6 linked regions of the Oryctolagus cuniculus genome follow. The protein of the gene in region 1 binds, or shares a complex with, the protein of each later gene. Links are inferred from orthologs where the notes say so. Each region holds a gene or a part of one and is shown on either strand. Other genes may lie near its edges. The genes, in order: TIMM21, SURF1, TIMM17A, TIMM50, TIMM17B and CMC1.

Region 1 (4,769 bases):
CATTTCTCTCTAGGCAGCTCCTGCACACCTACTCTGTTAAAGCCCTGTGCTGAGTGTTACTCATGTTCTACACATTAAAATTCACATCTGAGGCCAACATTGTGGTGCAGTGGGATAAGCCACTGCCTGTGACACTGGCATCCCATACGGGCACCAGTTGAGTCCTGGCTGCTCCATTTCCTATCCAGCTCCTTGCTAATGTGCCTGCTAAAGCTGTGAAACATGGTCCAAGTACGTGGGTCCCTGGTGCCTACACAGTAGGACTGGATGGAGTCCCAGGCTCCTGGAAATAACAGAATGGCCCTGGACAGAACAACACTGGAGGGAAGGCTCAGCACGCTCAGAGGACGGGCATGCTGGAGTGGACGTGAGTACCAGAGGCCAGAGAACACTGTTTACCAAAGCCGTAAAGAGCCACACAGTCACATCACTCAAGAGTAGGGTCCCCCGACAGTGCTAGGGACAAAGGGAGCGTGTAACGGATCAGTGCACCTACCGCACTGAACGGCCAGGCTACAGCGGCAGTGCCAGACCTACAGAGAGCGGCTGAGATGAACAGTCCATGGGAACATGGTGCTGCCACGTGAAGACTGACGGCAGCTGACAAGGACGATGCTCAGTTGTATAATCATTAGAAATTATTTATGGGTGATTCGGTGGCTGCAGGCAGTCGTTCGATCACTGCCCCAGTTTCTAGACCAGAGTCACTGAGACCTGGAGCCCACTTGCCACGGCCACCTCCCTCTGAGGCACTTGGACAAGTGCATACGATGACTCACCGGTCCTCCACTAAAGGACCTGCAGTCACAATGGCACCCAAGGACCCAGGCCGCAGGGCTCCCCTCTTAGGAGTGTAGGGGGCCACGGCACAGCATCTGGCTTGTAAAGTGTTCACAGCTGAGCTCAGGGACTTGCCCAGTAGTCAGTTCCCTGATTTCCGAATGTGTGACTGGAATGGAGTATTCAGTAACTCGAGTTTCTCTGGAGGCGGGTGAAGAGCTATCACAGTGGGAAAGTCTAACAGAAGCCTCTGAAACTACCACCTCCAACCCAACCAAGACAGCAAATCAAAATGCATCGCTTCTCCGGGGCATGCCAGAGACACTGCGACTCTCGGAGGGCTGTAGTACCCACCGTATTCTCACGTCAATCACCAGTCTTCCACTGACAGAAACCCCAGGAAGAGGCCAGAGAATGACTGTACTTCAGTGGGAACTCAACCCAGCAGTAGCTGCAACCCAGGTGCAAAACCAGATGCTGCGACTTCCCGGGAGCACAGTAACACGGCCTCACGCGCTGGGATCGAGCCGGAGAGCACTGAGAAGGAGCAGACACCAGCGTGTATCTGTGGTCTTGCTTAGGACTGCGAGTTCTCCCATCTCATCATATACAGTCCTGAGGGACTGGAGCCTTCTGAACCTGGGCCGCCACAATCGGCACTGGCCACCCATGGCTGTGAGTAGTTTTAGATGCATTTAAATAAATAAGATAAACTCAGTTCGCTGGAAAATTCAAGTGCCCAGCAGCTGCGTGTGCCTACCAGGCTGGACAACGCAGACAGAACATTCCCATCACTGTAGAGCACGCATCTGGACAACGCTGCTCTGGACAGCTGGCAGAGTATGGACGCCATCGTCTTAGAGTCCAGAAGTAGTAAGGGGCAGTGCACTGGAAGGCTGGGTAAGACGAGGGCCCCAAGAGGGAAAGGCGTGCCTGTGGAGATGCAGCGGCCCCCTCGCCGACCACATCACCCAGCCTTGTAGAGGGCCCTGGTCTGAGATGTGCTAGGGTGTTCCACCCCAAGTAAAGGGGAAATCGCATCCTACCCTTCCCACCACAACACCTGTTAGGCCTCCTTGGATTCTGGAGCCAGCGTCTTCCACATCCGGGAATACTGCTCCCACCGACTGAGTGACGGGAAGTCTGTCACCTCTGAACGGGGTCCATGTCGGGAAAGGACTCCGAAGAGCCCAGCCTGTCATAAAACAGGTGACCGACACACGGGCCGTCTGCCACTCCCACTCCTGTCCGCGTGCAGCTGCGCCTTTCATGCCGAATCGCCATCACGAATGAAAATCAGATTGGTTCTGACCCATTAGTAGAGTACAAGACATCTGGCAGGACCTGAGACTTGGAAACAATTTACTAGGAAATGTATCTGTATCGAAAGGACATACACCTTATCTCTGCATGGTATAGGCAGGGGTCTACACTGCTTTCTTTGCTTCTCTCCCCTCAATTACTTTTGAAACGAAGAAACGAAAACTTAAAATACCTGTGAAACTATTCTGGTTTTCCCTTACAAGTCACATTTCCTCCTGTTTTGTACGTCTCATGACTGCATGTAACATCGCAGGCCAGGGGTGTTGCGGACACCTTTAATTCTGTGGTCTACGGGGGCTAACTCAGGGCCTCGGCACAGCAGCAGTTACTCAACACAAGTGCACGTGGGTCGACCTGCATAGAGTTCTCCCTACTATGAACGGATCAGCTTTCTCTTCTGCTTAGCCAACTACTCTGTTACATGGACCAGGGCTCACTCAAGCCGAGAGAAGCTTCCTAGACACCGTGCGGACGTGACATGTCACATGACGTGACATGCAACGTGACATTCATGACCAGCACCGCGTCCGTGCAGGCCGCCGTGGGCGTCCACCCCAGCTGTCACTGCTGGTTCAACCCGCCAGCCACGTCTGCATCGTCGGCAGCGGCCGCGCTCCCATCACCGCGGGTTCTGTTACCTTTCTGTGAGGCTGAGACGGCCGGGTCCCTTCCCTGAGCTCCGTGCACGGACACCTGCTTGCTGCTGTCCTCCTCGGCCTTCCGGGGGCTCGGGCACCCGGTCCAAAGGGCCTTCTGGCCGGCGCCGAGGCCAGGTTCGGGCCGCGGGGTTCTCCGCGGCTCTTGCCGCCCCCATGTCAAACGGGGCCCGGGCTTCAGGCACGATCTGTGAAGCACCACGTGTGGCGAAAACCAGCGCTTGCCCGAACACCTGTGCAGCTTCTCCGCACACCGCGCAGCCCGGAGCAAGTTACCGATCATGCTCGCCGCAAGCTGTCCCGTCGGGGGCCGATGCCAAGTGCAACCAGCAGAGCCTCACAGTCCGCCACGCAGCCAGCCGGACACGTGCCTAGGCCCGCGTCACGCACAGTGCTGGGAGGCGTCTCCTACGACGGAACATCGCCCCAGAAAAGTTTATGCTCGCTTTCCCTTCTCCTAAAACCTGACCCCCTTCTACGCTGCCATTCACACCGCACCGCGGCGCCTTCGCAAGGTAACCCGGGAAGCTCGAGAGCATCCTGGGAACTGCAGTGCCGAGCCCTGCTCCTAACGCAGCCGCAGGGCGCGGAAGGCGAGAAAAGGACTACAACTCCCACAATGCAAGGCGCTCGGGCGCGTCGGCCTTCTCAAGGCTCCCAGACGCTCTGCGCGGGACGCATGCGCCGCTCGTCCTTCAAGTACAGGAGGGCGGGGCCGCGCTAGTGAGGAATTCCTGCTTCGGTCTCTGCACGGTCCAACCCGAAGTTTAAAAAGAGGAACCTACAACTCGCGTTTTCCTGACTCTTCTAGACAGGACTGAACACTGGGACATCCGTCCGACTGTGGCGTTGCGGGCCCGTACAGGCCGAGGCTGTAGTTCCCGCATCTCCAGAATTCAGTTTTTTCTTAAGAGTTTGCCACACAGTACACAGCAAGTGGAGCTCACGGAGCATGCTCCTGAGGGGCGTCCTCGGCGTCGGAACGTCGGGGGCGTGGGAAAGAGCGGGACGCGGAAGCGCCCAGAACGCCGCACCGGAAGCGGTGGCGCCCCAAGGGGGCGTGTCCGGGGACTGCGCACGCGCCGCCTCTCTACGCTCTGCGCACGCGCCCGGGGCGGGACTCCGGGTCTCCATGGCGACCGGACGCGGTCGGCTCCTGCAGCAGCACTGGCTTGGCCTCCAGGCTCTGTACTGGCCCCTGCGCGGCCGGGGGTCGGCTTGCGAGAACCCTGGGGAGGCCGCGCGGTGCCCAGGGGCTTCGGGGCTTAGGTGACGGTCGGGGGGAACCGCGGGTGGGGGCTCCGCGGCTCGGGAAGCCTTCGAGTGTCCCTGGCCCCGCCCCGCGCTCTCCCACGCGTGTTTTTATTCCCCGGGCTGTTTCACGCGGGACAGCCGCTTTGTCCTGGACTTGCGGGCGCTCCAGGTTGTGGACAAGCAGTGCAGTGTCCGGGGTCAGGTCCTGGTGTCGTGCGTCCCGGGACGCGGTTGGCCCCCGCCCACATCTTGGGACCCCCGCCCCGAAGTCTCGTCTTTTCAGGGCCCTGGGGTTCCGAGGGCGCATCCCGCCTCGTGCACGGGGCAGCCCGTCCGGCCGACGGCAGGCTCGTCCTCTGGTCTGTGTTCCTGGGGTCTCTTGGGCCTGGACTCCCCGGGGTGGGGTAGGGGCCGGGGGCTGGATGCCGCGTCTGCCTCCGGCCTCTTCCCCGAGCTGTTCCCGTCCCCCGCCCCTGCCCAGGGCCGGCGGTGATGGTCTCCCCAGGCTCCCCTACTTGATAGATACAGGAGCGCGGCGCATTCTGCCTTCTGATAGCCAAACGTCGAAGTGTAGACAAGGATTGGTCCTGGCCGAGCTACTCAAGCCCCCACCCCAGTCTCCAGGGCCGGGTTCCGTGGCCTCCAGGCTCAGTGTCCCCAGGAACCGTGTTTGCAGGTCACAACCCTGTTCCTCATCGTTCTTGATGGAAGAGCTGTAACGCCAGGCGTGCCACCAGCCTGTGACAAGGCGGTAAC
Region 2 (4,735 bases), on another chromosome or scaffold:
GTGAACTCGTAAGTGCCCGCGTCCCCCCAGGCCCCCTCCCCCCAGCCCTGCCCCCGCCAGTGATGGTCGAGAATTTCTTCACCTGAACCAGCCGTGTGGTCAGTGACGTCTGAGGCGCCCGCGCCCAGGCAGAGGCCGCCCTGTGCCCGCGAGTGAAAACCAACCACGTGTCCCCCCCCCCCCCCCCCCCGTGTGTCAGGGAGGACAAAGGGGCCCTGGCGAAGCTGGTGGAGGCCATCAGGACCAACTACAACGACAGATACGACGAGGTGAGCGCCGCAGCGCCCGCCCCTCCCTGTCCAGCCGCGCGGCCGGCCAGGCTGACCGCCCCTGTCCTTGCAGATCCGCCGCCACTGGGGAGGCAACGTCCTGGGGCCCAAGTCCGTGGCTCGCATCGCCAAGCTGGAGAAGGCCAAGGCCAAGGAGCTGGCCACGAAGCTGGGGTGACCGCGGGCTGCTTGTACATAATAAAGCTGGTTTGTCCCAGCCCGTGTCCCTGACTCAGTGACGCGCGGGCACACACACACACACACACACACACGCAGGGCTCAGGTCAGGGCCTTGGTTCACACGGCGGCTTTATTCGGGGGGGGGGGGGTGTGGGGGCAGGGCTGCTACACGCCAGGCGCTCGGTGCAGGAACTTCTTCACCCACAGGTACGCGGTGGCCGCACACAGCCCGTACCTGCAGTGCGACACGAGTGGTCAGCCAGGCCTCTGGCGGCTGGGGCAGGGCGGGGCTGGGCAGGGGGCGCTCACCAGGTCACGATGTACTGCAGGTGCTCGTTCCGCAGGGTGACTCGGGTCTGCCCGCCGATGGGCCCCCCAGGGATGGTGCTCTCTGCAGGAACAGGCACGCTGCTGCCCTGCACCCCCCCCCCACGTGGGCAGACCCGGGCTGGGTGGCCTCAACCTACTGAAGTCCGCGTCAATGAACACGGGCTCCGAGCCCGCGGCCCTGGCCATGGCCTCCAGGTCCCGGTAGTGCCAGTGGTTCCTCTCGGGGTTGTTCTCAGGGACGAAGGGCTTCCTGGTCTCCGTCAGCCTCACCATCCCCACCAGGTCGACCTCGCCCTCCACCTGCAGGGCAGCAAGAGCCGAGTGGGCAGCAGGCCAGGGCCGGGACGACCGAGGAGACCGGGGGAGGGCAGGGCCAGAGCTGTGGCCGCTTACTTGGCCTTTCTGCCGGGTGTCCGGGTTCAGCCTCCTCCGGGGGACGAATCCCCTGTTCACCAGGATGGTGACCCTAGAGGTGGGCGGGGAAGGGTCCTTGAGGAAGATCCGGGTGAAGGTGTCCAGCCTAGACAGACTGGGTGGCCAGCTAGGCGTCCCCAGCCGTCACCAGGGCCTGGGGTGGCCGGAGCCCCCTTCACTTCCGCCTGCCCCCCTGCAGGCACAGCTGGGGCTGCCACGCACCCTCCCCCTTCAGGGAGCTCCAGGCAGTGTAAACCAGGGTTGCTTAGCTGGTGGGGGCCATCGACCTGCACGGCGGGGGCGGGGAAGGAGGCAGGGAATCCCGTGTGCACCTGCCCACTGCTCACCCCAGGTCCGTGCAGTGGAAAGGGGTGACCACGTAGGCCCCGCTCTCGGTGGAGGAGGAGATCCGGCCGGCCTCCCGGGCCTCGCGGGCAGGGTCCACCATGGTCCGCGGCATCATGTACAGTTCCTTGGAGTGGTCAAAGTGGCCCCTGACCTTCACTGGCCTGTACTCCAGGCCTCTCAGTTCCATGGGACTACACGGAGACAGGGGGTGCAGGCTGGCACAGAGCAGCCCGGGCGGCCCGGGAGTGTGGGTCTGCAGCCCAGGCCAGCGTCCTGCACAGCTGATGGACGCACGCTGCGTGCTGATGTGTAACCACGCGGGCGCGCTCTCCAATGACAACGACCCACCCCCCCACCCCCAATCACTGCGCACGGAGAGGAGCCGGTGCCGGGCAGTCCTGTCCACGACCAGCCCAGCAGGGGGCGGCCACACTCACTCGGCCGGCAGCGGGATGGGCTCGGCCATCACTCTGGACTCCAGCTCCTCGATCAGTTTCAGCTTCCACTGGCGGCGCCGGACCTGCCGAGGACACCCGGCCTGAGCCCCAGACCACGGTCGTGCGGCCCGGAGCCGTCCCGCCGGGCCCTCCTCACCTGCCACGTCCCCAGGCCGAAGGACCCCTCCTCACCTGCCACGTCCCCAGGCCGAAGGCAGTCACGGGGATGAGCAGCAGCAGCCACTGCAGGAGGCGGTCGTCCTCTGCTTTGGAGGCCGGCGCGTCCGCCGCGGAGCTGCCGCACCTGCTCGGCCTCCCGGCCGCCCCTGCCGCGGGGTCAGACAGAACCGGGGCGCTAACTCAGGCCAGCGACGCTGCCAGGGACAGCGGGGCGCAGACCTCAACAGCCCTAACCTGTGGGGGTCCAGCAGGCAGCACCCGCGCCCGGCCCACGCACACACCCGGGGCGCGTTTGGTGGCCGGTGCCATGGCCCTGGGTAGCTCCCGGAGCCGCCCCAAGCCTTGCACCCAGAAATGCAGGCCTTCACGCACGCACTCGCCAAGTGGCTTGGCCGGGCCGCGGGCTCCGTGTGCACCCGGGGCGGTGGTACCCAGAGGGCACGCGCGGGGGTGGTGGGTGGTCCCGACGGCGGGCCTGGGGTCGCCGGGCTCCGTGCGCGCTGCGGCGATTGCAGCCGCTGAGCTCACAAACGCACGGCGCCGGCTTCCCGCTTCGGCCAGCAGCGACACCGTCCAGCCGGGTTCCCACGACACCCCCTCGGGGCCGCGCCGAGTCCCCCTCACCTGGGCACGGCAGGACCCCCGGGGCGCTCCTCCAGTAGGCGGTGGCGGGGGCCTGCGGGGACGGGGGGCGGCGGCTGAGCCCCGGGGCCGCTCCCACCCTCCCTCGCCCCGCCCGGCCCCGGCGCCCCGCGCTCACCCGCCCCGCGCACGCCGCGCGCAGCAGCGGCCCCAGGCCCACCGCGCGCAGCCCCAGCCGACTCGCCGCCGCCATCGCACCGGCGGCCTGCGGGAGCTTCCGGGGCGGAGGGCAACTGCTTCCGGGTCGGCCCGCGGCCCGCCCCCCGCACGCGGCGCGCGCCTGCGATGGACGCGCTGCCGGCCGAGGTGCGGGCGTTCCTGTGCGAGCACCCGAGCCTGCGGCTGCTGCCCGGCGCCCGCAAGGTCCGGGAGGCGGGGAGGGCCGGGGCGCGGGCACGGGCGCGGGCGCGGCGGGGGCGCAGGGCGCCGACCTCTGGCCGTCCCGCCGCAGGTGAAGTGCGCGCTGACCGGCCACGAGCTGCCCTGCCGGCTGCCCGAGCTGCAGGTCTACACCCGCGGCAGGAAGTACCAGCGGCTGGCGCGCGCCTCCCCCGCCTTCGACTACGCCGAGTTCGAGCCTCACATCGTGCCCAGCACCAAGAGCCCGTGGGTGGCCCCGGGGCCGGGACGGGAGCGCCCTGCCTGAGCGCGGGGCGGCACAGGGTGGGGGTCGCGGCTGTTTCTGTGAGTGGGCCGGAGGGGAGCGGGTGGTGGCGAAGGCCCGGGCCCGGCTTCCGCTGGCCCGCCTGGGTCGGCGGGTCTGCGCCCGGGCTGCTGGTCGGCGCTGACCGCCCCCTGCCCCGCCCCGCAGGCGCCAGCTGTTCTGCAAGCTCACCCTGCGGCACCTCAACAGGTGCCCCGAGCACGTGCTGAGGCACACCCGCGGCCGCCGCTTCCAGCGAGCCCTGCGCCGGTGTAAGTCGCCCCGCGCCCGGGCGGGAGGACGGCCCGACCCCAGACCCGGTCGGCGTGAGCTTCGGGAGGGCTCCCGGGGGCTCTGGGAGGCCGGAGGGGACAGCGCACCCGGCAGGCAGAGGAGGAGGGGGCCTTGACGGTCTGAGGATGGGGTGGGGGCGCCCAGGACGAGGGGCTGGGGCTGGGGGAGAGCTGCACACGGCGTCAGCTCGCGCTTAGAGCCGTGTTCTGGGAGTGGGGGTTACAGGGCAGCAGGAGAGAGGTCTTCATCTGCTGGTTCACTCCCTAGATGGCCACAATGGCCAGCGCTGGGCAGGCCAGGAGCCTCCTCCGGGTCTCCCACGCGGGCGCAGGGGCCCAGGGACTTGGGCCGTCCCCCACTGCTTTCCCAGGCCACAGCAGAGAGTGGAGCAGCCGGGACTCGAACCGGCGCCCACATGGGATGCGGGCACTGCAGGCGGCGGCTTCGGCCCCAAGTGTGAATGTCTGGTTTCCTGCCGGAGACAGGAAGTGGTGAATTGGGGTTTGCCTTGAATGTGTTAAAGTGGGTGAGGAAGGGCGGCTCTTGGGTGAGGCACCTGGGAGGGCCCAGAGGGGACAGCGCGGTGGCCACGAGGCTTCACGGCGTGGAAGCCGCAGGAAGGGGGTGCGGCCCCCCCCCACTCGGGGCTGGGAGTTACGGGGGGTGTGGCTGTGCCCTCCTGCCCCGGGTGGGCGCAGACTCGGGTTTGGGGCGGGAAGATGAGGACAGGGGCCTGAGGCTGCTGGCGCGGGCCAGACCCCTGGCCTGGCAGGGATCCGAGCCAGGAGAGCTGGCTGTGGGCAGGGCCGGGGGATGTCTCCTGTGAGGCCGCGGTTTTGGTGATGGATTGCGGAGCTGGCCGGGAAGCAGCGAGGCTCCGTGAGGGCGGCCTCGGGGCTGGGCACGGTGGAGACACCTGTGTGGGTTCCTGTAGTGATGGGAGTGGGCGGCCACATCAGAGGCCAGGAGGCAGGGGCCATGGGGACAGTGGGAGGTGG
Region 3 (4,230 bases), on another chromosome or scaffold:
ACTTGGGCCATCCTCCACTGCATTCCCTGGCCACAGCAGAGAGCTGGCCTGGAAGAGGGGCAACCGGGACAGAATCCGGCGCCCTGACCGGGACTAGAACCCAGTGTGCCGGCGCCGCAAGGCGGAGGATTAGCCTAGTGAGCCGTGGCGCCGGCCTTTGTTTTGTTTTTAAGATTTATTTATTTTTGAAAGAGTTACACAGAGAGAGGAGAGGCAGAGAGAGAAAGAGAGGTCTTCCATCCGATGGTTCACTCCCCAAGTGGCTGCAACGGCCAGAGCTGCGCCAATCCAAAGTCAGGAGCCAGGAGCTTCTTCCAGGTCTCCCACCTGGGTGCAGGGGCCCAAGTACTTAGGCCATCTTCCACTGCTTTCCCAGGCCATAGCAGAGAGCTGGATCAGAAGAGGAGCAACTGGGTCTCGAACCGGCACCCAAATGGGATGCCGGCACTTCAGCCCAGGGTGTTAACCCACTGTGCCACAGCGCTGGCCCCAGTGTTGTTGTTTACATTTGTATTTGATTGTAACATTTTAAATAGAAGATGAAAAAGTGACTTTTAAGTTTTTTTTTGTTTGCTTTCAAAATAGGTAGCTTTGCAGTTTGGGGAGGTCTGTTTTCCATGATTGACTGTAGCATGGTTCAAGTCCGAGGGAAAGAAGACCCCTGGAACTCCATCACAAGTGGTGCCCTGACAGGAGCCATCCTGGCAGCAAGAAGTAAGCGATTGCTCTAGACTCCAGAAGAGGCCAGGCTTTGGGGGAACCTCACCTGTCCTGACGTGACGACCTCTAATACGTACAGCCGAACACTGCATGATGGGGTCTGGCGTGCCAGAGATGGCGTCTGAGAAAGGAAGAGGGTGTCTTGTTTGGAGCGTGTGAGGGTGAGAGCATGAAGTTCTGAGTTGTGTATCACAGTGGTCAAGAGCACTCCCAGTCCGGTGCTTTTTTTTATTAACTTTGTGACTGGCGTTTTACCAGACCTTGTTTCCTCACCCGTACTCTGGAATCGGTACCTGCCGCATAGGGTTGTAAGGAGTCAAGAGCTCAGAGCCATCTTTTGAAGCAACCCGGAATTCCTTTGAGTTTTCTGGTTTAGACTTAGGATGTACAAGTTTTCTGTAAAAGGTCTGATAGTAAATATTTTAGCCTTTGTGGGCTGTACGGTGTTTGTCACAACTGCTTTACACAGCATGAAAGCAATGACAGACGGCACCCAAGTGGAAGCACTGGCCGTGTTCCAGTAAAGCTTTCTGTACAGAACCAGGCAGTGGACTGTGTTTGACCTGTGGGCCCTAGTTTGCTGACTCTGCTCTGTCTTGAACAGTGAGAACGAAGGGTCTGGGTATGAGGGGAGCGGGTAGCCATATGGAAAGCTCTCTATTTTACTGTAGTCTTAACAGTCAAGTAGATTGCTATTAAAGAATCTCTTTGTTATTAATATCTTCAGATGGACCAGTGGCCATGGTGGGGTCAGCCGCGATGGGTGGCATTCTCCTAGCTTTAATTGAAGGTGCTGGCATCTTGTTGACAAGATTTGCATCTGCACAGTTTCCCAATGGTAAGTCTTCTTTCTCCTTAATACCACAGCTCAGACATTTTGGGATGGTTTCCTGGTGTTATAGAAGAGCATATTTTTTTAAAAAAAAAGATTTATTTTATTTATTTGAAAGGCAGAGTTACAGAGAGAGATAGAGACAGAGAGAGGTCTTCCATCTGCTGATTCACTCCCCAGATGGCCACAACGGCTGGAGCTGTGCCGCTCCGAAGCCAGGAGCCAGGAGCTTCCTCCAGGTCTCCCACGTGGGTGCAGGGGCCCAAGGACCTGGGCCATCTTCACTGCTTTCCCAGGCCATAGCAGAGAGCTGGATCAGAAGTGGAGCAGCCGGGACTAGAACCAGCTCCCACATGGGATGCCAGCGCTGCAGGCCAGAGCTTTAACTTGCTACACCACAGCGCCAGCCCGAAGAGCATATTTTGTCTAGTACAGTATGGTAGCTTGCAGCCTCTATATTATGTTAGTATGCTGTGGTTCATGAGGACTATGATAATAACAGGCTCTGGGTCCAGGTGGAAAAGTGAGCGTGAAGGTGATCGCTATGTTTCCCATCAGTTACTCTGTTTTCATCTTTAGAGTGCTCGTTTGGTTGTATCATGAAACTTCTGATCATTTTAAAGGTGCTTGAAGAAGGTTCTGCAGATGTGTAACAGTAATGACAGCTTAGATACATCTGTGTGCCAGGTCCTCTTGTGGCCTTGTGCCGTAGTGGACAGGACAGTCCCTGCACTCAAGAATTTATGTCCTGAGAACACATTAAAGCTACGTGAGATCCTGTCAGATTATGTCCCTGCTTTGAAGAGAATGAAAGCGGTGGAAAGGAAGCCTGCTGGGAGGGTCTCTGAGAAGCCAGTGTAATTTGTTGCTAATTGTAACAGGTGAATTGTACCCAGTGATCAGGATCAGGAGTTTCCTGTTTTCAGAAGGTCACAGATAGATACAGCAAACAGTTACTTTCTGCTAAATGATTAGTCTTGGTTACTTTTAAATTTTTTCCTTGAAATCTCCCTTTTGAGTACAAAATTCGGCATTTATGGATAATCAGCCTGAAAGAGATGAGTTTTATCTTTAGATGGGAGATGTTTCTGAAAGCCTGTGTAGGAGGGAAGTTGTATTTTTCAGTTCTCATACATGAGTTAACCATATTTTTCCAATTATCTTACATGAGAAAATTATTAACACTGAAAGTATTAGGTAGAACTGAGGGTAGCGTTAGGTGTGTCTCCTGGTAACAGTGGTTGTCCTTGGTGTCTGCCATATCCAGTATCAAGTGTTCTGAACGAACAGGTCCTGCTTCACAGAGAAACAAGAGTACAGCGCTGGAGCGAAGCATCGACACCTTCCAGGAGTTTTATACTGCCTCCCTTCTCTGTCCAGATGACTTTTTTAGTCTGCTTCAATTTCCTTAAAGGAAAAAAGATTAATTATTCATCTTTTTTATTCAAGAGCTGCCTTTCTCCTTAGTTCATAGAAACACCGCCCCCTCCCCCATTCTGTAACAGCTGAGACAGCAGGACTGTTGTAAGGGGGCCGGGGGTGTCTTGCCATTTCAGAGGTCGTGCCCCACTTAACCGCTTACATGCAGTGGACTGCAGAGTTCTCTTACAGTGTAGCCAGGGTACTTAAACTGTGTGACAGTAATTTTAAATAGCAGCTGACAGAGAAGTGCAGATGGGACAGGGTCCTCCCGCCTTGCTCCATGGCAGTTTGCGGCTTGTGACAGAAGAGGCTTCTCGGGTGTGAGCCTCACCTCTGGCTGTGACGGATCCGCCCAGCTTCCCCGGCACAGCTGAGGAGCCCGCGGGAGGCCAGGCTGTCCTTGATGGACTGGGTCTGAAGGTTCTCTGGTCCTTTTGTGGGAGTTACGTCGAGTTACAGCGACATTCAGGTTGCAGCTCTGAGGTAGACCTCAGTTTGACTTAGCTGCTCTGTCATCTAGAGACTTGCTCGTTTGAATTACGTCCTACGCAGGTCATTCTTAAATCCTCTTTACTAATTGCAGGTCCTCAGTTTGCTGAAGACCCCTCCCAGTTGCCTTCCGCCCAGTTGCCGTCCTCACCATTTGGAGACTATCGACAATATCAGTAGGACTTCTTGCCTGGGAATTACTCGGCAGTGAGCTGGAGGTCAAGAAGCATTTCAGAAGACCAAGTTACAGTCTTTTTAACCATAGATGGGACAGCTGTGGCCGAGCAGGCTGTGAAGAGACATTGAGCACTTTTTCTATTTAAAGGAACATGTGAAGTATTAAAAAATAATACATTTATTTATTCACACTTGGATTGCATTTGTGATCAAAATAAATGTCTCCTATCGTTAAAAGAGAATCTAAGTGCTTAGAAGAAGAAGGACCAAAGGGCAAGAGGCAGTGAAACGCGCCAGCCGTTCCTGGGAGCGTCTCTGCCTGGTCCAGTGTGTTCTGTTATCCAAACAATAAACAGCTTCTGGAACTCGGTCTGTCTTTTAAGATAAGTTGTGTGGTTCTGCGTTTCATGCTCACGTATTGATTAACACACACTGGATAGTTAGCCCTCATCTCACTCGCAGGGAGCCATGCGTGAGAACTAGGCTAGTCAACATGGATCTTTTCACGGGAGATTGCTTTACGGACGCGGTTTTTACTTTGAAAGCACAGTGCGCATGTCTTGGTTAGGGGGTTGTTCAGTAAACGTTCT
Region 4 (4,846 bases), on another chromosome or scaffold:
GAGAGAGAGAGAGAGGTATCTTCCATCAGCTGGTTCACTCCTCAAATGGCTCTACCAACCAGGGCTGGGCCAGGCTGAAGCCAGGAACCAGGCATTCCATTGAGGTCTCCCACACGAGTAGAAGGGGCCCAAACAGGTGGGCAGATGAGCCATCAGCGCTGCTTTCCAGGTGCATTGGCAGACAGCTGGCTAGAATCAGCACTCTGACACAGGACACAGGTGGGCGGTCCACGTGGCAGCTGAACCCAGGGCCCCAGAGCCCACCTGCAGCTGAACCCAGGGCCCCAGAGCCCACCTGCAGCAGCTCACAACCACAAACTCCTGTGACTGTCTCCCATGACTTTAAAACAGGATGCAGGTATTTCAAAGTTGGTGGAAAAAATTAAAAGGTAGTTTTGGTGTAAAAACAACTGAACACACGCATAGTTTTCTCACAATACACACCTTCTGTGAAGGCGGGGAGGTACCTGCAGGGCTTCACAGCTCTCCCGATGCGCCTGTCTCAACAATACTATAGCACAGAGGCTCGTGTTTGATACAGAGTCAGGACGCCAACGGGGGTCCCCCATTCCACTCAGCGGGATCTGGGCTCAAGTCCCAGCTCTGCTCCTGAGTTCTACTTCCTGTGCATGTGCCCTGAGAGCTGCAGATGATGGCTCAAGTCCTCGGGTCCCTGCCGCGTAAGAGACCTGGACTGAGCTCCAGGCCCCTGGCTTCAGCCTGGCCCAGCCCCAGCTGTTGCAGATATTTGAGGAGTGAACCAGTGGATGGGAGATCTGTGTCTTTCAAATAAATAATAAATTTTTCTTTAATCACATTATTAAAACCAGCTAAGGCAGTACACATAAACATGATGTTTATCTGCCCAGGAACCAAATGAAATGCCTGTTGATTTGTTCCAGTCAGGATGGTCCTACACCTGCCCAGTTAAAACAGCACATCTGCCCGCTTGCCCAGTTTAATTAGTGCAGTACCGTGCCTGTGTGCAAACTCGCCCAGCAGAGGCCAAGTGGCCTTCTGAAGGCACCAATGTCAGCCTCTCCCGGGCAGGGCTGGGTGGAACAACACTCTGCAATCTGGCAGAACAAACTCCATCCAAAGCCGGGTTGAATGGGGGTAAACTCAGAGGCCGCCACAGAGAGGGGCAGGTGCTCAGACCGAAGGCAGCAGACGCCGTGTCTGTGGATAAGCAGCCTGGTGTCCCCAGGCCCTGCCACCGGGCTCCCCTCCCCCACCTGGCTCTGACCATCTGCTCTCTGAGGGCTAGGTCTCTGTGATGCCCCTCCCAGAAAAGCATCGAGCTGCTGGCTCCCCTCCCCCAGCGCAAGGAGGAGCTGGGGGCACCAGATGGGCAGAGCTGGCTGCGTCAGGGACTCAGTCTCTGCTTGTTGACTCACCATTGTCGAACTCATCAGGAATCTGGGAAGCAGAGAGAAAATGCAAAGTTTGGGGTGGCAGAGGCAGACCCCACCACCACCCAGCAAAGCGATCTCCAGGGCCTGATTCCAGGTAGGGAGGGGCTTGCCCTAGACCCAAAAGGAGCCAGAGCGGACCCAAAGGAGGCCCTGACACCCACCCACAGGCTGGGACTCCTGGCAAGGCCTCTGGTCTCTTTCCACTCACCTTGGCACCGTTTTCATCCACAGGGTTGTTTCCTGCAAGGGAGACAGGAGTGAGGGAGAGGAGCTGGGCGCTGCCTCCTGGGTCTTGGAGGAGATGGGGGACAGGGGGCATAAGTGCACCAGAGACACGGCCTCCTGGGTTGGGGGGGACGGAGCCCCCTGGTGTCTGAGCGATGACTGTGCTGGACTGTGGCTGCAGGGAGGAGACACAGCCCAGGAGGCTGGTCCAGGCCTTCCCCACCTCCCCTCTTCCAGTGGCTCCCCACAGCCTCGTACAGGAGCCGACCAGTTAGAGTAGAACCTTACACAGGGGTGAGAGAGACGAAAGGAGACCCCCGATTTCCAAAGCAGGTTTCCTACTTGGTGGCCCTGTGCAGGGAAGCGCCCGGGAGTGAAGATGAGTGGCCCAGGGGCGGCCCCAGGGGAACAGAGAACTGGGGGGCCGGGGCGTCTCACCGAAGATGTAGACGATGCTCACGGTCCCGCCGGCCCCAAGCAGCCCAGCAAGCCAGAGCGCGACTTTCTTGGCATAGCTGGGACCCTCGGAGCCCGGCGGCTGCTGCTGCTGTGGTCCCGGGGCCTTGGCTCCCCCGCGGCTCCCAATTTCCGCAGCAGCCTGTGGTGGAGAAGGGGGTGAGGCCCTGCGGCGCGGAGGGCGCTTAGCCTGTCCCGCGGAAGGAGCCCGGGGCGCGGGGGCTGGCGGGCCGTGGGTGTCAGGAGCGCCGCGGGCCCCACACACGGGGCGTTGGGCCGGGAGGTCAAGGCGTCCGGACGCCCAGAGGGGCGGGGGCGGGCAGGGGCGATCGCTTGTCTGGGGGTTGGGAAAGTGGCGCAAGGAGGCCACGGACTTGGAGGTCAGAATGGCTGGGTCCCGTCAGCACGGAGGCGGGTCGAACTGGACGCCTGACGTCCAGCTCACCTGCCCCACGCCCGAGGCGGACAAGAAAACCTCAAGGCCAGGCTGGGGCTCTCCCGCAACTAGCGCCGGAGTGGTCCCCGAGGTAGGGAGCAGGCGACCCTCCGCCCCCGGCGCCCACGTGGCTGAGAGCGGAGGTGCAGAGGGTGCACTCGGGCCCCAGCATCCGGCCGGAGGAGAGCGCAGCGTTCGCTCCGGGAGGCACGGAGCCGGCCCGAAGGGCGGGCAGTGTTCCATTCAGCACCCTGAGGTGCGGCATCCCAGAGCCACTGGGCGGCAGCTCCCTGTCTAAAACTCCAAGGCGCGGCCGCCGCGCCCGCAGCGCCTGGCCTGTCCCGCTCACCTGGTCTGGGGCCCCGGGGGGCGGCGTCGCCAACCGCGTGCACAGCCCCCGCGCGCCGAGCCGGAGCCCGCTCCGCAAGCGCGAGAACAGCGCCGCCGAGGCCGCCATCTTGCGCTGACGCCACGAGGCCCCGCCCAGTCTCCCCGCTCTGCCCGCCCCGACCTGGGCCTGCGGCCAATCGGGGCACAGAGGAGGGACGGGCGGACGGGAGCCCGAGAGACCCAAAAGGCCTTGGGCGGACTGCCGCCGGCGCGCTCGCTCCTGACCAGTGTCCTGGCTGTCCTCGGGGCCCGTCAGCCGGGATATGGCCACCTAGCTCCAGTCCTGGGGAGCACCACTGGTACTGAAACTGGACGTGGCAGGGGCAGGGGTCACACTCACGGCTACCCGATTTGCCCCCAAAAACTGATAAGGAATCAGCTCATCTCGGCCCCTGGGGGGTTCTGCCTTCACCTCCTAATTGCCCTAAGTGAAACCAGCAGCGGGCGTGTAGCCTAGCGGTTAGGGCGCCCAGCGTCCCACACCGTATCACCTGGGTCTGATACCCGGCTCCAGGGCCGACTCCACGGGAGACCGGGGCTGAGCGCCCGGCAGGTGGGGCGAGCCAGCAGGTGGCGCTGTCCCCGTGTCAAATGAAGGGAAGGAGGCTCGGGACCCAGGCAGTTCTCTCCACTGCTCCTCCTCCTGCCGAGCGGGGCTTGGACGCTGCTCTCCTCGCCTTTCCCTAGGTCTTTCCTCCGTGGGGAAGCTGAGGCTTGGGTAAGAACTGACCCCACTTACAAACAAGGCCAGGCTCAGGCATCCGGCGCTGGGCGGGCATCCCATACGGGCGCCGGTTCGAGTCCCGGCTGCTCCACTTCCAACCCAGCTCCCTGCTATGGCCTGGGAAAGCAGCAGAAGATGGCCCAAGTCCTTGGGCCCCTGCACCCACGTGGGAGACCCAGGAGGCTCCTGGCTCCTGATCAGCTCAGTTCCAGCCGTTGTGGCCATTTGGGGAGTGAACCAGTGGATGGAAGATCTCTGTTATCTACCCCTCAAATAAATAAATTAAATTTTAAAAAAGACCAGGCTCAGCACTTTTGACCAAACAGCTTTTTATTGAAAGATCGTAACTCAAAAGCAAGCCGGGGGCTGGGGTACAAGAAAGTGGGGCCCCTCCTCCGGACTCTACTCTGATTCCTAGGAGCATGGGGGGGAGGTGACCCAGAGAGGACACCAAGGCAGTCCAGGCCGGCCAGCCCGGCCACTCTGCCTGCGCCTCGGCCCCAGGCACGCCTCAGGCCTCCAGCAGCTTCCCCAGGAAGCGGAGGTTGAGGATCTTGAGCTGCTCGTCCAGGTCCATGCGGACGATGCCGTCCTCACCGTCAATGCTCAGCAGCACTCCCGTGGCTTCCCGGTCCTCTCCCAGGATCACCTTCACCTGCGGGAGGCAGTCAGAGTCAGGGCCCCGCGTCCTCCACCCCCCACCCTCGGCCCCCGCCCCTCGGCCCCCGGCCTCACCTTGTTGTTCTTGGTGGGGGTGATGGGCTCCAGGTGCTCGCTGGAGATGCTGACCACCTTCTCACTGTCCTTCAGGTACACGGAGCACATGCCTCCCTGCAGGGGCACAGCCTGCTCAGCTGCCCTGTCCAGCACAGGACTGAGCCCGCATTCAGGCTCACTCGCAACACGCAAGTCACTTTCCCAAGATGACTCGGCGGCAGCAAAGGCCAGGCTGGGCCAGCTTCCGGGGCCTGGGTCTATGCAGCAGTAGGGGGTGCCCGGATCAGCGGGGAAGCACCAGATGCAGCCGTTTCAGGCCAGAAGGGGGCAGCTTCTCGGACTCGTGCCCCACGGCCCCAGCTCTGGCCGGCTTCTTCCCCCACGTGCTCCTTTTCCTAGGCCCTGGTTTCAGGGGCAGCCCCACAGTCCCCAGTCCTTAACCTGACCTCTGGACATCATGTGGTCACTTCCCTGACAACCCTG
Region 5 (4,846 bases), on another chromosome or scaffold:
AAGAGAAGTGATCATGGCTGAGGGACAGGAAAGGCCTCTTCACAAAGGGGACATTTGTGCTGAAATTGTGACGATGAGAAACACAAAGATCTGGGAAAGGGAGTTCCAGGAGTTGAGAGGAGGGACAGAGCTACATATAAAAACTGCAGAGGACTGGACCTTGTGGTGCAGTGGCTTAAGGCCCTGCTTTGGATACCAACATCACATATGTGAGTGCCAGTTCAGGTCCAGGCTGCTCTGTTTCCTAAACAACTTCCGGCTAATACATCTTGGGAGGCAGTAGATGATGATTCAAGTGCCTGTGCCCCTGTCAGCCACATGGGAAACCCAGATGGAATTCCGGGCTCCTGGCTTCAGCCTAGTCCAGTCCTGGCTGTGGTGGGCAGTTGAAGAGTAAACCAGCGCATGGGCGCTCTCTCTTTCTATCACTCTGCCTTTCAAGTAGAGGGAAATAAATAAAACATTTGTTTAAAAATTACAGACTGGGGCAAGCATTTGGCCTATTGGTTAAAGCACCCACATCCCATATTGGAGTGCTTGGGCTTGATCCCCACCACTAGTTCCTGTTTTTAAGATTTATTTTATTTATTTGAAAGGCAGTGGGACAGAGAGAGGGGGAAAAACAGAAAAAGGGGTCTTCCACCTGCTGGTTCACTCCCCAAATGGCTGAAGCCAGGAGCCAGGAACTCCATCTGAGTCTCTCCCATGTGGGTGGCAGGGACCCAAATACCTGGGCCATCTTCTATGGCCCTCCCAAGCGCATTAGCAGGGAGCTGAATCAGAAGCAGATCAGGTGGGACTTGAACCAGAGCTCTGCTATGGGATGCTGGTGTCAAAAGCAGCAGCTTAACATAAATGCCTTCCAGCCCCAATTCCTGAGTCCAGCTCCCTGTGAATTCAGACCCTGGAAGGTAGCAGGTGATGGCTCAAGTCATTAGGCTCCTGCTATCCATCTGAGAGAGCTGGATTGAGTACCTGGCTCCTGGCTTTGGCCCAGGCTGTTGTGGACATTTGGGGAGTGTGCTCTCTTTTTTTTTTATTTTTTTTATTTTTTTTTATTTTTTGACAGGCAGAGTGGACAGTGAGAGAGAGAGACAGAGAGAAAGGTCTTCCTTTGCCGTTGGTTCACCCTCCAATGGCCGCCGCGGCCGGCGCGCTGCAGCCGGCGCACCGCGCTGATCCGATGGCAGGAGCCAGAAGCCAGGTGCTTTTCCTGGTCTCCCATGGGGTGCAGGGCCCAAGCACCTGGGCCATCCTCCACTGCACTCCCTGGCCACAGCAGAGGGCTGGCCTGGAAGAGGGGCAACCGGGACAGAATCCGGCGCCCCGACCGGGACTAGAACCCGGTGTGCCGGCGCCGCTAGGCGGAGGATTAGCCTATTGAGCCGCGGCGCCGGCCCGGGAGTGTGCTCTCTTGCTCGTTTGTGCTCTCTCCTGGCCCCTCTGGCTCTCAAATAAATCAAGAGATCATGACAAATGGTGATACATAAAGCCATGACATTTGATGACATTTTGTTTTTTGGCGGGGAGGGGAGTCAGGGAAATAAACCGAAGTATGTTAAATTAAAATGATTTTCTCAACTTTAAGGCTGTCCTCCTTCTGTCACTTCACTCCATCCAGGTTGAAGACCCAGCATCTGCCTCTAAAATCTATTTGGTTTTGCACACACACACACACACACACACACACACTCGGGACTGGGGAAGAATGTTTTTACAGCACATTTCCACCGAGGAGGTCCAGCTGGGTGGGGGAAGGGGACAAGAGGTCACATCTGCAGTTCCCCAGGTCCAGGAGCCAGGTCTGGCACATAGTAGGTGAATAGGGACCAGAAGAAGTTAAGTGCATTGGCCTGGCAGCTCCAAGCAGCTTTTAGAGTAGCGTCCTATGTGGGCAAGGCTGCTGACCCCCACACCACCCGGTGGGCCAGGACTCACAACAGGGGCGTTGCGGAAACCCTTGATGGCCTGGAAGACTCCGCCGCCGATGACACCCATGGTGAAGGCTCCACCGCAATCATCCACAATTCGCCATGGGCTGAAAAACCGGAAGGGAAGGTTGGGGTTAATGGGAGCCCCTCCCCTCCCTGGACTCTCTCCAAGTGGGAGAAACCAGTCACTGGAATGGCAAGTTTGTGAGTGAGAAGAAACACTTCAGATAACAACGAGCTAGTTCTGTCATTCTTTTTCCCTGATGAAATCGAGAAATGGGGCAAAAGGGGAAAAATAATAGTCTCTGCCTTGATCACCTTTTGCAGGCATCCAAGGAATCAGCCAATTACTTTACTAGCAAATATTAAATGAACTGAGGCATGTAGAGTTGGCGCATTTCAGTAAGGGTTACGGAAGTGTTAACTGGCTAGTTATTAAAAACGAGGTGACAGCCCCTTCTGGGACAGTGGCATCCAACCAAGCCTTGTCCCCTCCTCCTCTTAAACCAAGCACAACTGAGAAAAACCCAGAGGCCCGTTGGGAAAATCCAGCACCCCTCCTCACCCACAATAGGTTCACGCATGCCCCGCCCCGATTCACACAAGCGACCTGGGAAAAACCATGCGTGCCACCCTCCACCCACGCTGGAATGGACTGGACCAGCGTCTCTGCTCGCTAACAAAGAGGAACAGGAGCCACAAAGCCAGGGACAACATGGCGTGGTTCGTCCTGTACCGCCCCTTCTCTGGGCACACAGTTGTGGCCCCTTTTAAAGAACCCCGAAAGGAAGGAAGTACAGGGAGCGGAAGGCGAGAAGATTCTAAGTCTCCCTAATCTGGGACGCCGCACTGTGCGGCCGGTGCCTCCCCCGCCCGCCTCCCATGGCTGGTCTTGGGGCAGCAACAGTCCCGATGCCTGTGCCCATCGCCGTACCAAGGCTCCCGAGCATACTCCTCCATGGCGCCGGCGTCTGGAGGCACAGTCAGGCCCGAATCCTGTGGGCCACGCCCCCAGTGGAAACGCACCACAGGCGCTCTAGCTCTTCGCCTATCCCAGGACAGCGATTGGGTGGCTTCGCCACGTCAAACGCAGGACGCTTCTCATTGGACACCCAGGATAACGTCATCTTTCCACTGCAGTCCCAGCGTCTTCCAGTTACGTCTTGGCTCGGGTATTGAGTACGCCGTTGTGTGCTTTGGGGGAAACGAGTGGTGTGGTCCTGGTGATCAGAGCAGTGGCGAGAGGAAGGAGGCTGTTCTTTCTACCTGCCCGACTGTACTGGTAACGCGGGGAGGGGGAGGGGGGCATGGTTTTGCAGAGCTGGAGGAAGGGCTGCATTCCGCTCCCCCACCCCAGGGCTTTGGTTTTTCCCACCCAGCAGTCTTTGAGGGAGGTTGGGTGAGCCAGTTTCTGAAGCTGCGCTTGGCGCCTTTGGCGGTGGGTGGAGCCCGGGAGAGGAAGTGGATCCTGGAGCTCCGGGCCTAGTAAGTGAGCGGCTGGAAGGAGTTTTGTGACATTTGCAAGCCTCTTGTCTCTCGTGTTTTAGCGCATAGGTTGAGTCCGCCCAGCTAGCTCCTGGTGTATTTGGGAAGGTGAGAGTCCGATGAGTACATGCTACGGGAGGGATGAGCTCTGGGTTATGGGATCCAGATTTGAATCCTCATCAGTCTGTCTGTCCCCAGATCTGTCACCCGCTATGCCGCTGCCCGTCGCGCTGCAGACTCGCTTGGCTAAGAGAGGCATCCTCAAACATCTGGAGCCTGGTAAGAGAGCTAAGAGCAGATGGGCGTATCATGTATCAAGCCTGATAGGCCCTTTTTTCATTGATATGGACACTAAACACTCAGCGTGGACCTTCTGTGCTCTAAGCCGTGGCATGGCAAGGATTCCTGATGTCCATTCCTTTTGCAAACCATGCAATGTGTGTGTTTGTGGGGGGAGGGGGAGGTTGAAAAGATGCATATTTCATTCTTAACAATACACAACACTGATGCAAATTTCGGGCCTCCACGAATCACATGGAGGTAAATGCATAGTATTTAATAGGCTATGTGTCAAGTCCAGGATGTTGTTGTTTTTTTCGACTTACTCATTTGGGGCTGGTGCTGTGGTGTAGCGGGTAAAGCTGCCATCTGCAGTGCCGGCTTCCCAAATGGGCTGGTTCAAGTGCAGCCTGTTCCATTTCCAATCCAGCTCTCTGCTGAGGCCTGGGAAAATAGTGGAAGATGGCCCAAGTCCTTGGGCCCCTGCACCCGTGTGGGAGACTGGAAAGAAGCTCCTGGCTCCTGGTTTTGGATCAGCGCAGCTCTGGCCATTGTGGCCATCTGGGGAGTGAACCAGCAGATGGAAGACCTCTGTCTCTCTCTCTCTCTCTTTCTGCCTCTGTGTATCTCTCTCTCTGCCTCTGCCTCTCTGTAACTCTGACTCAAATAAAAATCTTTTTTTTTTTTTTTTGACAGGCAGAGTGGACAGTGAGAGAGAGACAGAGAGAAAGGTCTTCCTTTGCCGTTGGTTCACCCTCCAATGGCCGCCATGGCCGGCACGCTGCGGCCTGCGCACCGCTCCGATCCGATGGCAGGAGCCAGGCGCTCCTCCTGGTCTCCCATGGGGTGCAGGGCCCAAGGACTTGGGCCATCCTCCACTGCCTTCCTGGGCCACAGCAGAGAGCTGGCCTGGAAGAGGGGCAACCGGGACAGAATCCGGCGCCCCGACCGGGACTAGAACCCGGTGTGCCGGCGCCGCTAGGTGGAGGATTAGCCTATTGAGCCGCGGCGCCGGCCTCAAATAAAAATCTTTTAAAAATATTTTAAAGAAAAGATTTATTTATTTGAAAGGTAGAGTTACAGAAAGGCAGAGAGAGAGAGAAAACTCTTCAATCCTCTGGTTCACTCCCCAAATGGCTGCAATGGCTGGA
Region 6 (4,959 bases), on another chromosome or scaffold:
TACCTCTCAAATCTCAAATAAAATCCTTTTTTTTAAAGAAAAATATAGGGAGACACACATTCTCTCTCTCTCTCTCTCTCTCTCTCTCTCTCTCGTGTGTGTGTACTTTGAATGTCCACTCTACATTCTGAGCACTTCTTTTTGCCTCCACAGGCTGTAAGCATGGTTCAACCTTTGCCACTCTCCCCAGGTAACTGCATTTTCTTCCTCATTGCTGTCTGTCTCGGTATTGCCCCATAATGAGCCACAAGGGCAGCTCATTCTAGACATGAATGGGCACACTGCCATGATGTTCTCATTTGTATGAGGAAAGGAATCACCTAGAAATCCTCTGAACGGCCTGCGCTAGTCTCCCAAGCCCCATCAGGACGCACAGATTCCTCTTTGCAATTACTCTCTCACCTACCCCTTTGTTTTACATTTCCACACATGCCAGCTCAGCCATTTTTCAGCTCCTGCCCAGACTAACGCAGTCGTGCCCCTGAGTGACTGCCTGCAGACCTCTTGGCTCTCTCCTCTCCACCTGCACCCATCCTGCACCATACTTTCATAAAACAGCCTTATAAAACTTTTACCAAATCCTGTCTTTCAGCTCGATCAGCCGGGTCTTTACACCCCACCTCTTCCTCAAGAAGGTTCGTCTTTGCCTTCCGAATTGGGTCTAAGCACATTTACACAGCATGCAAGAAAAGGACCCGATGTCCTGCCTGGCTGTAGGAAGCGCTAATTCTTCACCTTGGCACCTCAAGCTGCAGCTGTAATCGGGGCCCTAATGCCCAGCTAGGCCCTTAAACGGAAGACCTGCTGAGCCGAGACCCACTTTCCCAGCCCGGCTCCAGGGCTCCGCTCTTCTGCCAACTGACCAGGCGGAAGCAGCAGCAGGGGAGGAGGGACCGCAGGTAGGAGGGGAGGGGATCGTTTTGAAAGCCCTGAATCCCTTGCAGGGAAGAGGCAGCTGCTCCTTGTTTTTCTAAACATCTGTCCCATCTGCCCCCAGCCGCAGGAGCCTCGAGCAGGTTCAAGGTGGACTGGAGAGGCAGGCGCCCCGCGAAGGTTGCGTGGGAGCCGGGGCAGCTGAGCCTGCGTGGCCGCCGCCCCCGCCCCACTCCCGAAAATTCCTTCTGTGAAGAGCGGTAGGGGGAGTCTAGGGAGGACAGGCCGAATGCACGGAGTCGGTTTGAAACGATCCCCCGCCCCCAAAATGCTATGTCACAAAACCGAGGGACCCCTAGCTCTTATTATCGAGCGCCCCAGGCCGCGGATGTGGGGGAGAAACCGTGACAGCACGCTACCTCCGCATTTCACAGCGCTCCCCTGCAGGCACTGCCCCCCACCCCCACCCCCGGAGAAGGACCCTGTTTTTATTGTTATTTCCCCCTAGGACGCAGAACCCCGTCTGCAGCCTGGCTGGCGTGCAGTTTATGAATGAATGAAAAAACGAGATGATTCAGCCGGTTCGCAGATACAGCGTGGGAGGCTCGGGCTTAGAAAGCGGTGGCCAAAGGGAGCGCTGTCAGCAAACCCCCTAAACCCAGCTCCAGCCCACGCGGCTATCCCCGGGTGCTCGCTCAGGCCAAACGGAGGCTGCGCGCGCCCCGAAGCGCCCGCCCCCACGGCGCACGCGCAGCCACGCCCCCTCCCCGGGTCGCTCCCGCGGGGAGTCGGCTTCCACCCTAGTTACCGGGTTGTGGGCGGGGCCAAGGCGGCGCAGGCGTAACGGGCAGCGGAAGTAGGAAGTAGCGGACGCGATAAAAGGGCTCGTGGGGTCCTCGCTAAGGGCATTGCGCTCCTCCCCCGCTGCGTGTGTCGCCCCTCCTCTCTCCATCCTGGGGCTCCGGTCGCGGGACCCTCCGGGCGGCCGCACGTGTTGTCAGGCGCGGGCTCCTCCCCTCTCCGCCCCCTTCCCCGGAGCCTCGGCGCCGCGCGTTCCCTGCCCGCCGCGATGGCGCTCGACCCCGCAGGTACGGGGGTTGATGCGTGGTTTGCAGCGGGACGCCGGGCTGGTGCCGCGGGCGTCCGGGCTGGGCAAGGTCCGATCTGAGGTCGCGCCGCTTTCGCACACTGCCTTCACCGCCGGCTCCTGCCGTGGGGTTCGCAGCCGGCCCTGGTTGCTTCTCTCGGGCGAGGTTAGGGTTAGGTGAGGGGCTCTGGGTTTTGTTGTTGGAACTGTGGTCCGTTTGCGGCAAACAGACTTTTCCCTCCTCGGCTCAGACGGCTTTCTTCGTCGTCATTTTCGCTCCTTAGGGCCCAGACTAGACATTGGATGGTGTAGGCACCTTTGACCCAGCAACATTTCGTACTGGAGCCGGAGCTCGAGTTCACGTTGTCTTTGGGAATTCCCGGACCCCCGGCTCGTCCTCAGACACGGCGGTTCGAGGGTCCATTCCTGTGGCGAGTCGTCTCTCGGGGAAGGGGTCCCCAGGCTCTGAAATGTTCTGACTGTCGTGATTCCTCCTGCTTGCCTTTGCTGCAGAGTTCTGTTACTCTAAGGCGCCTCCTCGCAGAACCACACCTGCGTCTTGGGCGTTGAGGCAGTTTATGCAAGGGTGTAGATACAGAAGCCTCCTGGGGGGACGGTGATTGATCTGCCCACTCCTTTTTGTTGTTGTTGTTGTTGCTGTTAAAGATTTATTTTACTTATTTGAAATAATTACAGAGGGAGCTAGAGACAGAGGTCTCCCATCTGCTGGTTCACTCCCCCAGTGGCCGCAAACGCCAGAGCTGAGCCCATCAGGAGCCAGGAGCTTCTTCCCGGTCTCCCATGCGGGTGCAGGGGTCCAAGCACTCGGGCCGTCTTCCACTGCTTTCCTAGGAGCATTAGTAGGGAGCTGGATCAGAAGTTGAGCAGCCGGGACTGGAACCTGTGCCCTTATGAGATGCCAGCACTGCATGCTGGGCCTTTAACCTGAGCCCCGCCACCCCCCTTTCCCAATTCCTTTCATTTTATAAATACAAAGCCTCAAGGTGTTGGATGGTGATATGGCTCCAAACCATTTGGAGATTCCGAAGTGGAAAAGACACTTTTGGGACCCCCAGAGGACAAAATACACGCATAGTGTTCATTGAACCACTTTTTAAAATCAAGCTAAGTAGTCTCAATGACCTTTGATTTCTTTTACATATGAGGAAACGGAGGCACAGAGGTTAATGGTAGTGGTGGAGTTGGTAGAAGTGCAAAGGAATTCCACAGTGCATAATGATCAGACCAGTTTGTGGTTCAGCGATTGGGTCAGAATTCATGGAGCAATGAAACGGCGGATCTGGGCTTTGAAGAGTAGGATTTCCAGAGGTTGGAGTATCCTGTGTCAGGTATGTAGATACGCTGATGAAAAACCAACATAGGACTCATGAGTGACTATTTTTTCAATGGTTTATACTTGTTACTGCACATAATTTTTTTAAAAGATTTATTTATTTGAAAGTCAGACTTAACACAGAGAGAAGAGGCAGAGAGAGAGGTCTTCCATCTGATGATTCACTCTCCAGTTGGCCGCAAAGGCTGGAGCTGTGCAGATCTGAAGCCAGGAGCTTCTTCCAGATCTCCCATGCAGGTGCAGGGGCCCAAGCACTTGGGCCATCTTCTGCTGCTTTCCCAGGCCATAGCAGAGAGCTGGATTGGCAGTGGAGCAGCCGGGTCTCAAACTAGTGCCCATATGGGATGTGGGCGCTTCAGGCCAGGGCGTTAACCCACTACACCACAGCGCTGGCCCCGACCTAATTATTTTTGTTTTCAAACTATTTACAATTTGGCCAGCGAATTTCTTTATCTAGCTTCTGGAGCTTTGGGGGTAGTTTCCCATTTTGGGGAGCATTTTTTCTTTCTTCACATAGGATGTCACTGGCTTGCCACTTGGCCCGTTTTCTGAGACGTCCTGGTTCTTTTTATTTTGGTGTACTATTGCAGAACAATATCTGGTCACTCCGTGTGGGTTCCTCTTTTGTGTTTTACATTTGAGTGATTCATTAATGGAGTGCCCTTAGGGGGAAAAGCAAGGGAGTAAGGCGAACAGGAGAGTGAAGGGTTAGGATGTGGTTTCAGGGAAGGCTGTTGCATTAGTCAGCTTTTTGTTCACTACAACTACTTATCAAAGGTGAGCTACCTGTGAAGGAAGGCTTATTGTAGGGCCTCACAGTTTTGAAGGTTCACAGTCTAAAATAGGGCAAGTCCCTCTGGTTCAGCTAACTGGTGAGGCTGGGAGAGGGTTAGTGGAGTGCGAGGGGAGGAACAATCATGTGGTGATCCAGGGGGCAGAGGGAGACTGAGCCAAGCTCAGCTTTTATAAAGACCCTCCTGAGAGGGCTGTCTTTTGAGGCATGACCCGGATACCTCACATAGGTGACAGAATCCCAAGGACTTGAGCTGTGATACTTGTTGCCTTCCAGAGTGCAATTAGCAGGAAACTGGATTGGAAGTGGAGCTAGGATTCTAACCCAGGCACTCTAATGTGGAATGCAGGTGTCCAAAGATGTGGCTTAACAAGGTAGCTACCCAGGAGCCAAGTCTTACTCAAAATGTAGCAGCTGGTCTTAGCTAGTTAGTTCTGGTGCACCCACAAAGTACAAAGTCTGTCCTGTCTCATGGGCAACGGAGCTGAGCTTTATGCCCTCTGTCAGCCGCTGGTTACCTGTAGGAGCTGGAAGCAGGGGAAACTGTAAAAGATTACCATTGCCCAAGGGCAGTCCTGAGAAGGTTGCAGATGTGAGTGCTCCAGCATTCCCTGTCACAGGAAGATCAGCTTGATCCAAAAAACAAGTTGTCTGACTCTACTGGGAACCTTAGTTTGCACAGTGAGTTCAGGTAGTGTTGAGTCAGATAGGAAAGGGTCCTTGCACACATGTATGCACATACACAGGCGTGTGTCCCATCTCCGTTAAATTATTGAGAGGTTATGGTCAGAACATTTGAATAACATTGGTTTAAGATATACCTACAATAACCCTATCAGTGCGTTTTTTTTT

Evidence for each region.
Region 2: TIMM21 (region 1) and SURF1 share a complex: the UniProt entries of both Homo sapiens proteins name them as parts of the MITRAC (mitochondrial translation regulation assembly intermediate of cytochrome c oxidase complex) complex. The link is inferred for Oryctolagus cuniculus from reciprocal best matches to the Homo sapiens genes TIMM21 and SURF1.
Region 3: TIMM21 (region 1) and TIMM17A share a complex: the UniProt entries of both Homo sapiens proteins name them as parts of the TIM23 complex. The link is inferred for Oryctolagus cuniculus from reciprocal best matches to the Homo sapiens genes TIMM21 and TIMM17A.
Region 4: TIMM21 (region 1) and TIMM50 share a complex: the UniProt entries of both Homo sapiens proteins name them as parts of the TIM23 complex. The link is inferred for Oryctolagus cuniculus from reciprocal best matches to the Homo sapiens genes TIMM21 and TIMM50.
Region 5: TIMM21 (region 1) and TIMM17B share a complex: the UniProt entries of both Homo sapiens proteins name them as parts of the TIM23 complex. The link is inferred for Oryctolagus cuniculus from reciprocal best matches to the Homo sapiens genes TIMM21 and TIMM17B.
Region 6: TIMM21 (region 1) and CMC1 share a complex: the UniProt entries of both Homo sapiens proteins name them as parts of the MITRAC (mitochondrial translation regulation assembly intermediate of cytochrome c oxidase complex) complex. The link is inferred for Oryctolagus cuniculus from reciprocal best matches to the Homo sapiens genes TIMM21 and CMC1.

Annotation. Positions count from the first base shown.
Region 1 is NC_091441.1:4,572,418-4,577,186, forward strand, and holds the start of TIMM21 (mitochondrial import inner membrane translocase subunit Tim21), read right to left. Parts: upstream 3,259-4,769; 5' UTR 3,043-3,258; coding exon 2,742-3,042; intron 1-2,741. Other genes in the region: FBXO15 (F-box only protein 15), read left to right, coding at 3,712-4,028. UniProt on the Homo sapiens protein: Participates in the translocation of transit peptide-containing proteins across the mitochondrial inner membrane.
Region 2 is NC_091432.1:235,375,334-235,380,068, forward strand, and holds SURF1 (surfeit locus protein 1), read right to left. Parts: upstream 3,007-4,735; 5' UTR 2,994-3,006; coding exon 2,919-2,993; intron 2,835-2,918; coding exon 2,783-2,834; intron 2,305-2,782; coding exon 2,171-2,304; exon of another isoform or gene 2,136-2,170; intron 2,062-2,135; coding exon 1,979-2,061; intron 1,733-1,978; coding exon 1,541-1,732; intron 1,246-1,540; coding exon 1,173-1,245; intron 1,080-1,172; coding exon 917-1,079; intron 841-916; coding exon 759-840; intron 685-758; coding exon 615-684; 3' UTR 561-614; downstream 1-560. Other genes in the region: RPL7A (large ribosomal subunit protein eL8), read left to right, coding at 1-8, 200-269, 343-447; SURF2 (surfeit locus protein 2), read left to right, coding at 3,086-3,163, 3,252-3,406, 3,612-3,715. UniProt on the Homo sapiens protein: Component of the MITRAC (mitochondrial translation regulation assembly intermediate of cytochrome c oxidase complex) complex, that regulates cytochrome c oxidase assembly.
Region 3 is NC_091444.1:17,865,675-17,869,904, forward strand, and holds the end of TIMM17A (mitochondrial import inner membrane translocase subunit Tim17-A), read left to right. Parts: intron 1-585; coding exon 586-714; intron 715-1,447; coding exon 1,448-1,558; intron 1,559-3,557; coding exon 3,558-3,643; 3' UTR 3,644-4,010; downstream 4,011-4,230. UniProt on the Homo sapiens protein: Essential component of the TIM23 complex, a complex that mediates the translocation of transit peptide-containing proteins across the mitochondrial inner membrane.
Region 4 is NC_091449.1:15,489,431-15,494,276, forward strand, and holds the start of TIMM50 (mitochondrial import inner membrane translocase subunit TIM50), read right to left. Parts: upstream 3,038-4,846; 5' UTR 2,990-3,037; coding exon 2,882-2,989; intron 2,239-2,881; coding exon 2,079-2,238; intron 1,656-2,078; coding exon 1,624-1,655; intron 1,420-1,623; coding exon 1,398-1,419; intron 1-1,397. Other genes in the region: SUPT5H (transcription elongation factor SPT5), read right to left, coding at 4,158-4,301, 4,382-4,477. UniProt on the Homo sapiens protein: Essential component of the TIM23 complex, a complex that mediates the translocation of transit peptide-containing proteins across the mitochondrial inner membrane. Has some phosphatase activity in vitro; however such activity may not be relevant in vivo.
Region 5 is NC_091453.1:34,071,756-34,076,601, forward strand, and holds the start of TIMM17B (mitochondrial import inner membrane translocase subunit Tim17-B), read right to left. Parts: upstream 3,030-4,846; 5' UTR 2,892-3,029; coding exon 2,866-2,891; intron 2,039-2,865; coding exon 1,939-2,038; intron 1-1,938. Other genes in the region: PQBP1 (polyglutamine-binding protein 1), read left to right, coding at 3,629-3,695. UniProt on the Homo sapiens protein: Essential component of the TIM23 complex, a complex that mediates the translocation of transit peptide-containing proteins across the mitochondrial inner membrane.
Region 6 is NC_091435.1:164,609,124-164,614,082, forward strand, and holds the start of CMC1 (COX assembly mitochondrial protein homolog), read left to right. Parts: upstream 1-1,682; 5' UTR 1,683-1,942; coding exon 1,943-1,961; intron 1,962-3,126; exon of another isoform or gene 3,127-3,309; intron 3,310-4,959. UniProt on the Homo sapiens protein: Component of the MITRAC (mitochondrial translation regulation assembly intermediate of cytochrome c oxidase complex) complex, that regulates cytochrome c oxidase assembly.